Linked DNA regions of Callithrix jacchus. The protein of the gene in region 1 purifies or fractionates together with the protein of each later gene. This does not show direct contact. Links are inferred from orthologs where the notes say so. Each region holds a gene or a part of one and is shown in the gene's direction. Other genes may lie near its edges.

What was found. Proteins that work in one complex are often made in the same cells at the same time.
Region 2: the proteins of EDEM1 (region 1) and CANX purify together in Homo sapiens (affinity purification with western blotting; 6 studies listed by BioGRID and IntAct, with this or other methods). This does not show direct contact. The link is inferred for Callithrix jacchus from reciprocal best matches to the Homo sapiens genes EDEM1 and CANX.

The regions. Positions count from the first base shown.
Region 1 is NC_133516.1:62,315,431-62,320,400, forward strand, and holds part of EDEM1 (ER degradation-enhancing alpha-mannosidase-like protein 1), read left to right. Parts: intron 1-2,177; coding exon 2,178-2,349; intron 2,350-3,387; coding exon 3,388-3,571; intron 3,572-4,970. UniProt on the Homo sapiens protein: Extracts misfolded glycoproteins, but not glycoproteins undergoing productive folding, from the calnexin cycle.
Region 2 is NC_133503.1:71,923,812-71,928,781, reverse strand, and holds part of CANX (calnexin), read left to right. Parts: intron 1-118; coding exon 119-238; intron 239-1,124; coding exon 1,125-1,251; intron 1,252-2,055; coding exon 2,056-2,135; intron 2,136-3,962; coding exon 3,963-4,016; 3' UTR 4,017-4,970. UniProt on the Homo sapiens protein: Calcium-binding protein that interacts with newly synthesized monoglucosylated glycoproteins in the endoplasmic reticulum. It may act in assisting protein assembly and/or in the retention within the ER of unassembled protein subunits.

The DNA.
Region 1 (4,970 bases):
GTCTCAAACTCCTGACCGCAAGTGATCTGTCTGCCTCGGCCTCCCAAAGGCCTGGGATTACAGGCATGAGCCACCATACCTGGGCACATTTATGTTTTAATGGGGGTGTAAAATAGGTGTCTGTCTAGAACAGAATTTCATGATTTCTCTTTATAGTCTGATCTCATTTACTTCTTTCATGATGTCCTCGGAAAACCCCTACCTATTTCTGAAGAAAATGAGAGTTCCCCATCTCACCACCCACAGAAAATCACTGCTTACCATTTTAGTATATTATCCTTGTTAAATATATCTCTTCTATTTCTCTCTCTCTCTCGCTCTCTGTTTAGCGCATTGGGATCATACTCTATACCTAGTATGTTGTATATTGATTTCTTTGCTTTAATTTGTTGTGATTATTTTCCTGTTTAAATTTTTTGATAATTGTATTACTGCATAACATTCCAGTTAACAGTTGTAATACTTATTTAAAATTAGAATTATGAAAACCTTTGTTCTAACATATGTCACAGTCTACAGATCATTAGAATGGGACTTTATGGGTCTACCAGGACATAGGTGTAAGCTGTTAGCCTGCTCCCTCTCAGTAGGTCATTCTCTCCTCCTCCTCCTCCTCACCTTGCTTCTTTACTAGATGTTAAGGTATTAGGGAAGTTCAACAGTTGCTTGGCAGCCAAAACTACAAAAATTACTTAGTAATTGTCTTAACTTTCTCTGTTTTTTTTAAAGTTTAAATTATTTTTTTTATTTTTAGAGTAGGGTCTTGCTCTGTTGCCCAGGCTGGAGTGCAGTGGTGTTATTACGGTTCACTGCAGCCTTGAACTCCTGGCTCAAATGATCCTCCCACCTCAGCCTCTGAAGTAGCTGGGACTAGAGGCAAAAGCCACCATGCCCAGCTTCTGTTTTTTATGAGTGTTTTCTCCAAGTGAAATAAATCAAGAGTAATTTAATAATACTAATAGGCAATATTCTGAGAACAATTAGTATACTCCCTCTTTTTTTCCTTTTTTTGAAAGAGACAGGGTCCTGCTCTGTTACCCAGGCTGACGTGTAGTGGCATGATCATAGCAGCCTTCAACTTCTAGGCTCAAGAGATCCTTCCGCCTCAGCCTCCCAAGTATCTGGGACTACTGGTGTGTCCTATCACACCTGGCTAATTTTATTTATTTATTTTGAGATGGAATTTTGCTGTTATTACCCAGGCTTGAGTGCACTGGTGTGATCTCAGCTCACCACAACCTCCGCCTCCCAGGTTCAAGCTATTCTTCTGCCTCAACCTCCCAAGTAGCTGGGATTATAGGCATGCACCACCATGCCTGGCTAATTCTTTGTATTTTTAGTAGAGATGGGGTTTCTCCATGTTGGTCACGTTGGTCTTGAACTCCCGACTTCAGGTGATCCACTCACCTCAGCGTCCTAAAGTGCTGCGATTATAGGTGTGAGCCACCATGCCCAGCCTAATTTTTTTTTTAATTTTTATTTTTAATAGAGACAGGGTGTTGCTTTGTTGCCTAGGCTGGTCTTGAGCTCCTGGCTTTAAGCGATCCATCTCCCTTGGCAAAGTGCTAGGACTATAGGCATGAGCCATTGCACCCAGCCAACTCCCTTTTCTTTCTTTTTTTTATTTTTGAGATGGAGTTTCGCTCTTGTTACCCAGGCTGGAGTGCAGTGGCGCAATCCCGGCTCACCACAACCTCCGCCTCCTGGGTTCAGGCAATTCTTCTGCCTCAGCCTCCTGAGTAGCCGGGATTACAGGCACGCGCCACCATGCCCAGCTAATTTTTTTGTATTTTTAGTAGAGATGGGGTTTCACCTTGTCGACCAGGATGGTCTTGATCTCTTGACCTCGTGATCCACCCGCCTCAGCCTCCCAAAGTGCAACTCCCTTTTCTTAATGCTCTAAGATTTAATTTACCAAAATTGTTAATAAATAGTATTGTTTTTGGTAGCCTCGGATAAATGATTCCCTTTCCCTCTTTTAGTAATATGGTTAACAAAAATCTGTCATGTTTTATTAGAGGTATAAAGGAGTTTAAGAGGCCATTAAGTCAGGTCTCTCTGACGTCAGGTAGTTCTGAGTCTATGTGGATATAAAGGTACTTCTGTCTTTGTGAATTGTATTATGAGCATTTATTAGCAACATGATTGTATTATGTTTTTGTTCTTCCTGTCATCAGGGTTCTGGGAAGCCTCCTTTCTGCTCACAGAATAATAACTGACTCCAAGCAGCCCTTTGGTGATATGACAATTAAGGATTATGATAATGAGTTGTTATACATGGCTCATGACCTGGCCGTGCGGCTCCTCCCTGCTTTTGAAAACACCAAGACAGGAATTCCATTTCCTCGGGTGGGTAGACTGGTTTGACCCTTTGTGTTTGACAGTTTACTCTCTTCCTGAATTAAAATTCTTTGTTTATTAATTTATTTGGGAGAAGGAGTGGGATGGAGATAGATGAGAAAAGCAGTGTCTTTAGGAGAATTTGGCCTTAAATATTATGTAAATATTTTAAAATTAATTCAGCATTTACTGAGCATCCACTGTATAAAAGGCAAACAGTGACATATCTGACTTATTCCTTCCCCTTTAAGGAATTGATGTTCTGTGAGGTTCAGTATTCTTAAATTCATTTACATGTGTGATTTATATTCCCTGCTACAAAGCAGTGTGGGGAGTTTGTCTTCATCTCTGACTTGGGTTTGTTTCCCCAGAGATTCTCACATGGGTATTGCAGAAGCTCAGTGAGTGTTCTTTTGAATGCTTCACATGGATCTTTCAAATAGAGCCTGCACAGACCAGCAAGTTAGCTGCTGATTTAAATGCCAGGATCTGGAATTAGATTTTATCTTTGTGACATCTGATTTGCCAGGCCCAGAACTCCTCTGGGAATTGAGTCAGCCTTTTAGGTAACTGGCTGAGAATTGCCAGAGCACAGAGCCTTCATGATGAAACAGGCTGTCATATTCTGGCAGTGCCTCCTTTCTCTTCCAGTTGGAGGTTTGTTTAGGTGTTGAGCAGGAGTGAGTTCATAGTGGCTCACTTAAAATTTAGAAGCAATTCTATAGTTTGCCTTGGTATCTAACCCTAAAGCCTGGTGTCTGTGTTACCATGAAGAAAACTTGGTGGAAAGAGACGTTTTAGTGAAGTGTTATAGCCTTTCCCTGAAGACTTGCTCCTCTTAATAAAGCAAGGCTCTGCTGTTCTTATTGTCTTGTTTGTGTCTTTTAAATTTAATTCCCACATTCACCTCATCTGTATCTTGGAAGGCAGAGAGCTGACTCACTGGTAAGCTTCGTTTATTAGCCAAGTGTAGTCTTTGAGATCCAGCTTTTCAGCCCTGTGGGTTCCTTGAGTTTTGTCATAGTCTTTATCTCTTCCCATCCCCAGGTAAATCTAAAGACAGGAGTTCCTCCTGACAGCAATAATGAGACGTGCACAGCGGGAGCTGGTTCCCTCCTGGTGGAATTCGGGATTCTGAGCCGACTGCTGGGGGACTCCACATTTGAGTGGGTGGCCAGACGAGCAGTGAAAGCCCTTTGGAACCTCCGGAGCAACGATACAGGATTGCTAGGTGTGGCACCTTTGCTCGCCATTGGGACTGCACACCGCTTGGTCCCCTTTGCTTTTATCTTCTCTGGGCTCTGCCCCTTTTTCAGTCTTTAACTCAATTGACAACGCAGAAAGAATTGTGTCAGCTGAATCTAATTTCTTTATGTGACCCTTTGCAGAGAGCGAAGCTGGATAGTCTGATGGAAAAGAATGAAGCTTTTGTGTTTGAGGCCTCCCTTCTGATTTGGATCCCCTGGCATATTCCACTTGAAAATTATTGTTAATGGAAATGCCATAAAAAGAACTGCCTCTGAGGCAGATTTTATTGCTTCAATATAAGATTCTAAATATAGGAATATAGAGTTACTTTGGAGCAGCTTTTTGCCTATTAAAAATTTAGGCATGTGGTAGTAGATTGAAAGTCCAGATTAAACCTCTATGAGGTGAGGTTTTTCCTCCCTTGAGAATGTTTGGTCAAGGTGTTACTTAAAAATTATTATGGAAAATTTCAGAGTATAGTAGATATAATGAATAGTAACCCCTGTGTACTCATCATTTATCTTTAATAATTAGCAATATTTTGCTAACTTACAGTGTTATTTGTTTATTTATTTTGAGATAGGGTCTCACTGTGTCACCCAGGCTGGAGTTCAGTGGTGCGATCTTGGTTCACTGCAGCCTCCACCTGCTAGGCTCAATGATCCTCCCGCTTCAGCCTTCCAAGTAGTTGAGATGACCGGCCTGTGCCACCATGCTCATGCTTACTTTATGTAGAGACAGGGTCTCACTATGTTGCCTGGACTAGTCTCAAACTCCTGAGCTCAAGCAATAAGTGCTGGAATTACAGGTGTAGGCCACTGTGTGTGGCCTAGGTGTTAAAGTGGGTTTTTACCTGTTTGTTTAAAGTTCTGAAATTTATGTATTTGTTGTATTTAACAACAGCAATGGAAATAAAGCAGTCGCTCAAGTTGTCAGTCTATCACCAAATAGTTGACTGGTGTCACTCCAGATTGTCAACTGTTTAGGTTTCCATAGATCCTTTCAGCCTGGCATGTGCAACTTTGATATATTTTTCATTATAATATAAACAGATATTTTTATTCTGCCTGACATTTGGCAGAGCACTTGTTTCCAAGTTGTTGCCTTGTTTTCATAGTTACCATTCTTTTTGTTGTTTTGTTTCATTATAAAAAAATTATATTTTCTCTTTTTTTTTTGTTTTTTGAAACAGGTTCTCCCTCTGTCACCCAGGCTGGATGGCAGTGGCACAATCTTGGCTCACTGCAACCTCTGCCTCCCAGGCTTAAGTGGTCCCACATGCTCAAGTGAACCCCCTATCTCAGCCTCCTATCTGGGGCTACAGACACTCACCACAATGCCCAGCTAATTTTTTGTATTTTTGGTAGAGACAGAGTTTCACC
Region 2 (4,970 bases), on another chromosome or scaffold:
TGAAAAAGAAGATCCTGCGTGGTGCCCTGCCATAACTGAACTGCAGAAAAACAGCACGGCTTGTGTTTGTTTGCTGTCGAAGGCCAGAACTGTCAATCAGTCCTGTCTTGTTTTTCAGCCAGGTGTAGTGGGGCAGATGATCGAGGCAGCTGAAGAGCGCCCGTGGCTATGGGTGGTGTATATTCTGACTGTAGCCCTGCCTGTATTCCTCGTTATCCTCTTCTGCTGTTCTGGAAAGGTAAGAAGTTTTAGTTTTGTTTTGTTTTTAGAATCACTTTTAGAGACATCACTCTGGTGATTATAAAAAATAACTAAGATATGTTGCCTGAGGTTTTCTTTGTAGTGGCTCAGTAATGACTGAGCCATGTATGGTGCTGACTTTAGAAAACTTACTTACTGTTCCTCAATAGCCATTTATTGTGTCCAGATGGGAGCAGGATTTGTAGCCCCTTGGTCGCTACTGTTATCTTAATATGTTACTCTCCATAATGTTTGATATTAGCTTTCTAAAACTATAATAGACTTAGATATAAAACTAACCACTCAGACAATAATCAGCTTTTCCTGCTGGCATAGATAGCTATTTCTGTTCTTTGTAATTCTGTCTTTGGTCCCTCATTATCTATTCTTTCTTCACCTTCCCCACTCTCAAAACAGTATGTTGGGGTACCATAGCCTTACTGTTAGTTTTTCTTATTTAGCCTTTGTTGCATGCTATCATAAAAAAAGAAAGTTTTATTTTGGCCCTCTACTTCTGCTAAATCAGGATTATGCTTCATCTGGCATTCATAGCACTTTGTAACTGGATCCCAAGTTCTTTTTCCAGCCTCATCCTCTGCCACTATTCTGAGTATCTGTGCCTCAGTCACCTTGACTTTTTTGACCTGTACTCTCCTACCTGGCCCTTTTTGTGTTCTGCCTTGAAATGTGTGTGTGCGCGCGCACACACACACACACACACACACACACACAGGCTTTTCAGGGTAGGAAATAACATCTTACTCGTTTCTGTATATCTAACCCTGTATGCAGTCTGGAACAGAACTTTGCCTGTAGGCATTCAGGAATATGATAACATGATACATGAACATGTAAACGAAATTGTACTTTGGGGAATATTTCAGAAACAGACCAGTGCTATGGAGTATAAGAAGACCGATGCACCTCAACCAGATGTGAAGGAAGAGGAAGAAGAGAAGGAAGAGGAAAAAGACAAGGGAGATGAGGAAGAAGAGGGCGAAGAGAAACTTGGTAAGAAATAAGAGTCCAGATAATCTGCTTCACACCAAGACCCGACAATGTTGTTAAACCTTTACAGTCAAGTTAAAGATTGTTTACAACCAGGTGTGGTGGCTCAGGCCTGTAATAGTAGCAGTTTAGGAGGCTGAAGAAGGAAAAATGCTTGAGCCCAGGAGTTCAGGGCTATAATCAGCTAGGATAGTGTCACTGTACTCCAGCTGAGCGATAGAGTGAGGCCCTGTCTCGTTTTTTTTTTTTTTTTTTAAAGACAAGGTCCCACTCTGTAACTCAGGCTGGAGTGCAATGGCATGATCATGGTTTACTGCAGCCTCGACCTTATAGGTTCAAATGATCCTCCTACCTCAGGCCCTCAAGTAGCTGGGACCACAGGCATACACCATCATGCCCAGCTGATTTTTTTTTTTTTTTTTGAAATGGAGTCTGGCCCTGTTGCCCAGGCTGGAGTGCAGTGGTGTGATCTCAGTTTACTGCAGCCTATGCCTCCCGGCTTAAAGCTATTTTACCACCTCGGCCTCCCAAAGTGTAGGGATTATAGTTGTGAGCCACCACTCCCAGCCAGATCCTATCTCTTAAAAAAAATTGTTGGACAGGCACAGTGGCTCCCATGGTAGGAGAACTGCTTGAACCTGAAGGCAGAGGTTGCAGTGAGCTGAGATCATGCTATTGCACTCCAACCTGGGCAACAAGAGCAAGACTTCATCTCAAAAAAAATTGTAGATCTAGAGATGTGTTCTAATGCTAATTGTCAACAAAAATAATGATAAGGTTTGCTCAGTTGTTTAACTTCTGTCTTAGAAGAGAAACAGAAAAGTGATGCTGAAGAAGATGGTGGCACTGTCAGTCAAGAGGAGGAAGACAGAAAACCTAAAGCAGAGGTAAAAGAAAGGGGTCACACTTTTTTTTTTCCAAGTTGAAGGTACATTTATGTAAAGGAAATATTTTGATAGGGTAGTTTACAGTGGCTTATGGCAGTAAAATTTCTGTTAAAGCCAATTTTGTCGAAGTGGGATTCTATGTGATATAGGTCAGTGTTTTGTTTGATAATTTTAAGCTACATCTGAATCTCAAATGTATCCTTTTAGCTGAAAATGATTTTCTGGAATAAGCAGAAGGTTGTAGGGAGAAAATAAAATGCTTGCTAGGAAGACAACGTTAGGTCATTAAAAACCTATCTACCTCTCCTCACTAAAAAATATTTCTTGTACAAATAACTGTGTACCTTAAAGGGTATTTCTTGTACAAATCACTGTGTTCTAAACTTCTTGTCCCTGTTCATAGATTTGTTCATTCATTTACCTGATATTTATGAGTGCCCATTTTGTGCTAGGAATTGTCTGTAAATGAGACAGACAATGCTGCCTTTAGGGAGCTTAAATTCTGCTTGTGGGAAACAGGCAATGAGCAGTAAACATTGTAAGGAAGTAAATAACATAGTATATTAGGAAGTGATAAACTCTGAAAAATTAAGGCAGGAAAAGCTATTAAAAATGCTAGAGGTAGGGCGGATCACCATGTTAAAACCTTATTGGACAGATGACATTGGACCAACGACTTGAAAGAGATAGAGAACTTTTCCATGGGGATATCAGTGGGAAGAGCATTCCAGGCAGAGAGAACAGCCAGTTTGAGCCCTAAAGTGGTTGTCTTTTAAGGCCATTATGGCTAGTGGGCTGAGAGACAGAGTGGAGAAAAGAAGGGTGGAGAAGGCTCCAGAGTAGACTGTTGTGTGGACTTGGCTTTCCCTCCTAGTGAAGTGCGCAGCTATCACAGGCTTTTGGGTACAGGTGTCACAGGATGATGACTGTGTCTGCTGTGTTTCCTATATATCAGAGAGACCAGTTAGGAGGTTCCTGTAATCATCTAGGAAAGATACAGCAGTCCCACAAAGGGTGACAGGAGAGGAACAGCGGGTATGAGAACTAGTTGGAGTTCTGGCTTGGTTTTGTGGTAGATTGGACATATAGAGTATGAGAGAAAAGGAACAGTCATTGTCTGTACCATTGCCTACTAATGTCCCTTTCCCAGCACTTCTGTGTTTGAATCTGGTCTCTCCTGGAAAGCTTTCCTCAGGTACTTGCAGCTACAACAACTCTGCCTTCCTATTACTAAAGATCAATGTTATCTGTATCTTTAGTATATTTTCAATGGATATGTTCTTTCTTAACTAGAATGCAGTTCTTGAAGGTAGAGACCATGTCTCCCCCAAACTTCCTCACGTTAAAAAAGTTGCTGACACATTTAAATAAAGGGAGTATTTTCATAGGGTAATTTATAATCTTAGCAACTGGTAATAGAGTACAAAGAGCAGCAGCCTTGGAGTCAGTCTACTTGGATAGCCTTCCATCTTCATGAATCCTTGGTTTCTTATCCTCAGAATGGGGATAGTGTGGCCGTAGGCCAGTAGATTGTTGGGGATTAAGAAATCACAGTGTCTGATCCTTTTTTAAGAAAATGTTTATGGATTAGATTGATAAAATGTATGTTTATAGAAAACAATAAAGACCAAACTGAATTAGACATAATTCCACTCCTCTGAAACCACCATTCTTCTTGGTGCATTTTTCTTCAAATCATTTTCCTCGTTTTTTCCTTAAATAAATTATCCTCAGCCTGGCTGACCTTGAAAATAAGATGAACTTTTATTATTTTTTAAATGTGCTAATTATACTGAATTTCTTTCTTTTTTTTTTTTTAATCAATAGGAGGATGAAATTTTGAACAGATCACCAAGAAACAGAAAGCCACGAAGAGAGTGATACAATCTTAAGAGCTTGATCTGTGATTTCCTTTCCCTCCCCCCCCACCCCCGCAAAAGTGGTCCTAGGAGAGGACCTGGCACACCTTAGGTTGAAACTCAGAAAACTTCAAGATGTTACTATCAGCAGGTTCCAGTTGAACAGTAGTCTGTGTAACTTTAAACATCTAGCAGTAAATACTTGCAGTTGTGATATAAAGGACCCTGTTTCTGTAGAAAAGAAAACATTTAACATAATGGTTGTGAAATGTAACATGAAGTAACTAACTTTTTTTTTTTGTAACATCTTTGTTTTTTAAAATAGAATGATAGAACTTTGCCAATCTTTAAGATCTTGGCTTAATTTAATGTATTGATCTGTTTGTGTAAACATAATACCACCATTTTAAAATGTTGGGGGATGAGTTACAGTTTTTATAATACATTTTTTTTTTAAGTTTGGTATTGTAAAACGTTCACATCTCTGTCCCTCAAAATTGATAATCACGTTTAAAGTGCAGTCATTTATAGCTATAATCTTGTTTTGTTTGTTTCAATTACTCAGTTCCTCCTAAGGAAATTGAGGAGAGGGACTGGTGGAAGCCCAAATTTATATGAAAGTTGCATTTAAGTTGTATTAAAAATAGATATATGAAATGGAAAAAAAATCGTTCACTTGATGTTGGTTAGACCAGAAAGTGCGTGTGTTCTGTAGCTCAATTCCCAGACAGCTTTGCAGGTAGTGGAGGAGGTGGCTTCATGTGGCCCTTGGGCATTCATACTCCACTTGGGAGCGTCAGGCTGTGGCCTTCTGGAGCAGGTGGCTTGTTAAGGCATCCTAGCAGGGCATGGCACATGAGCTCCGGAGTAGGTATGTTCATCACTTCTTCCACTGTGTTGACACTTTTCCTTACCTGTTTCCTCAGATCCCCAGCTTTCTCCTCTGCTATGCATTTTCTTCACAGTGCAGCTTGCA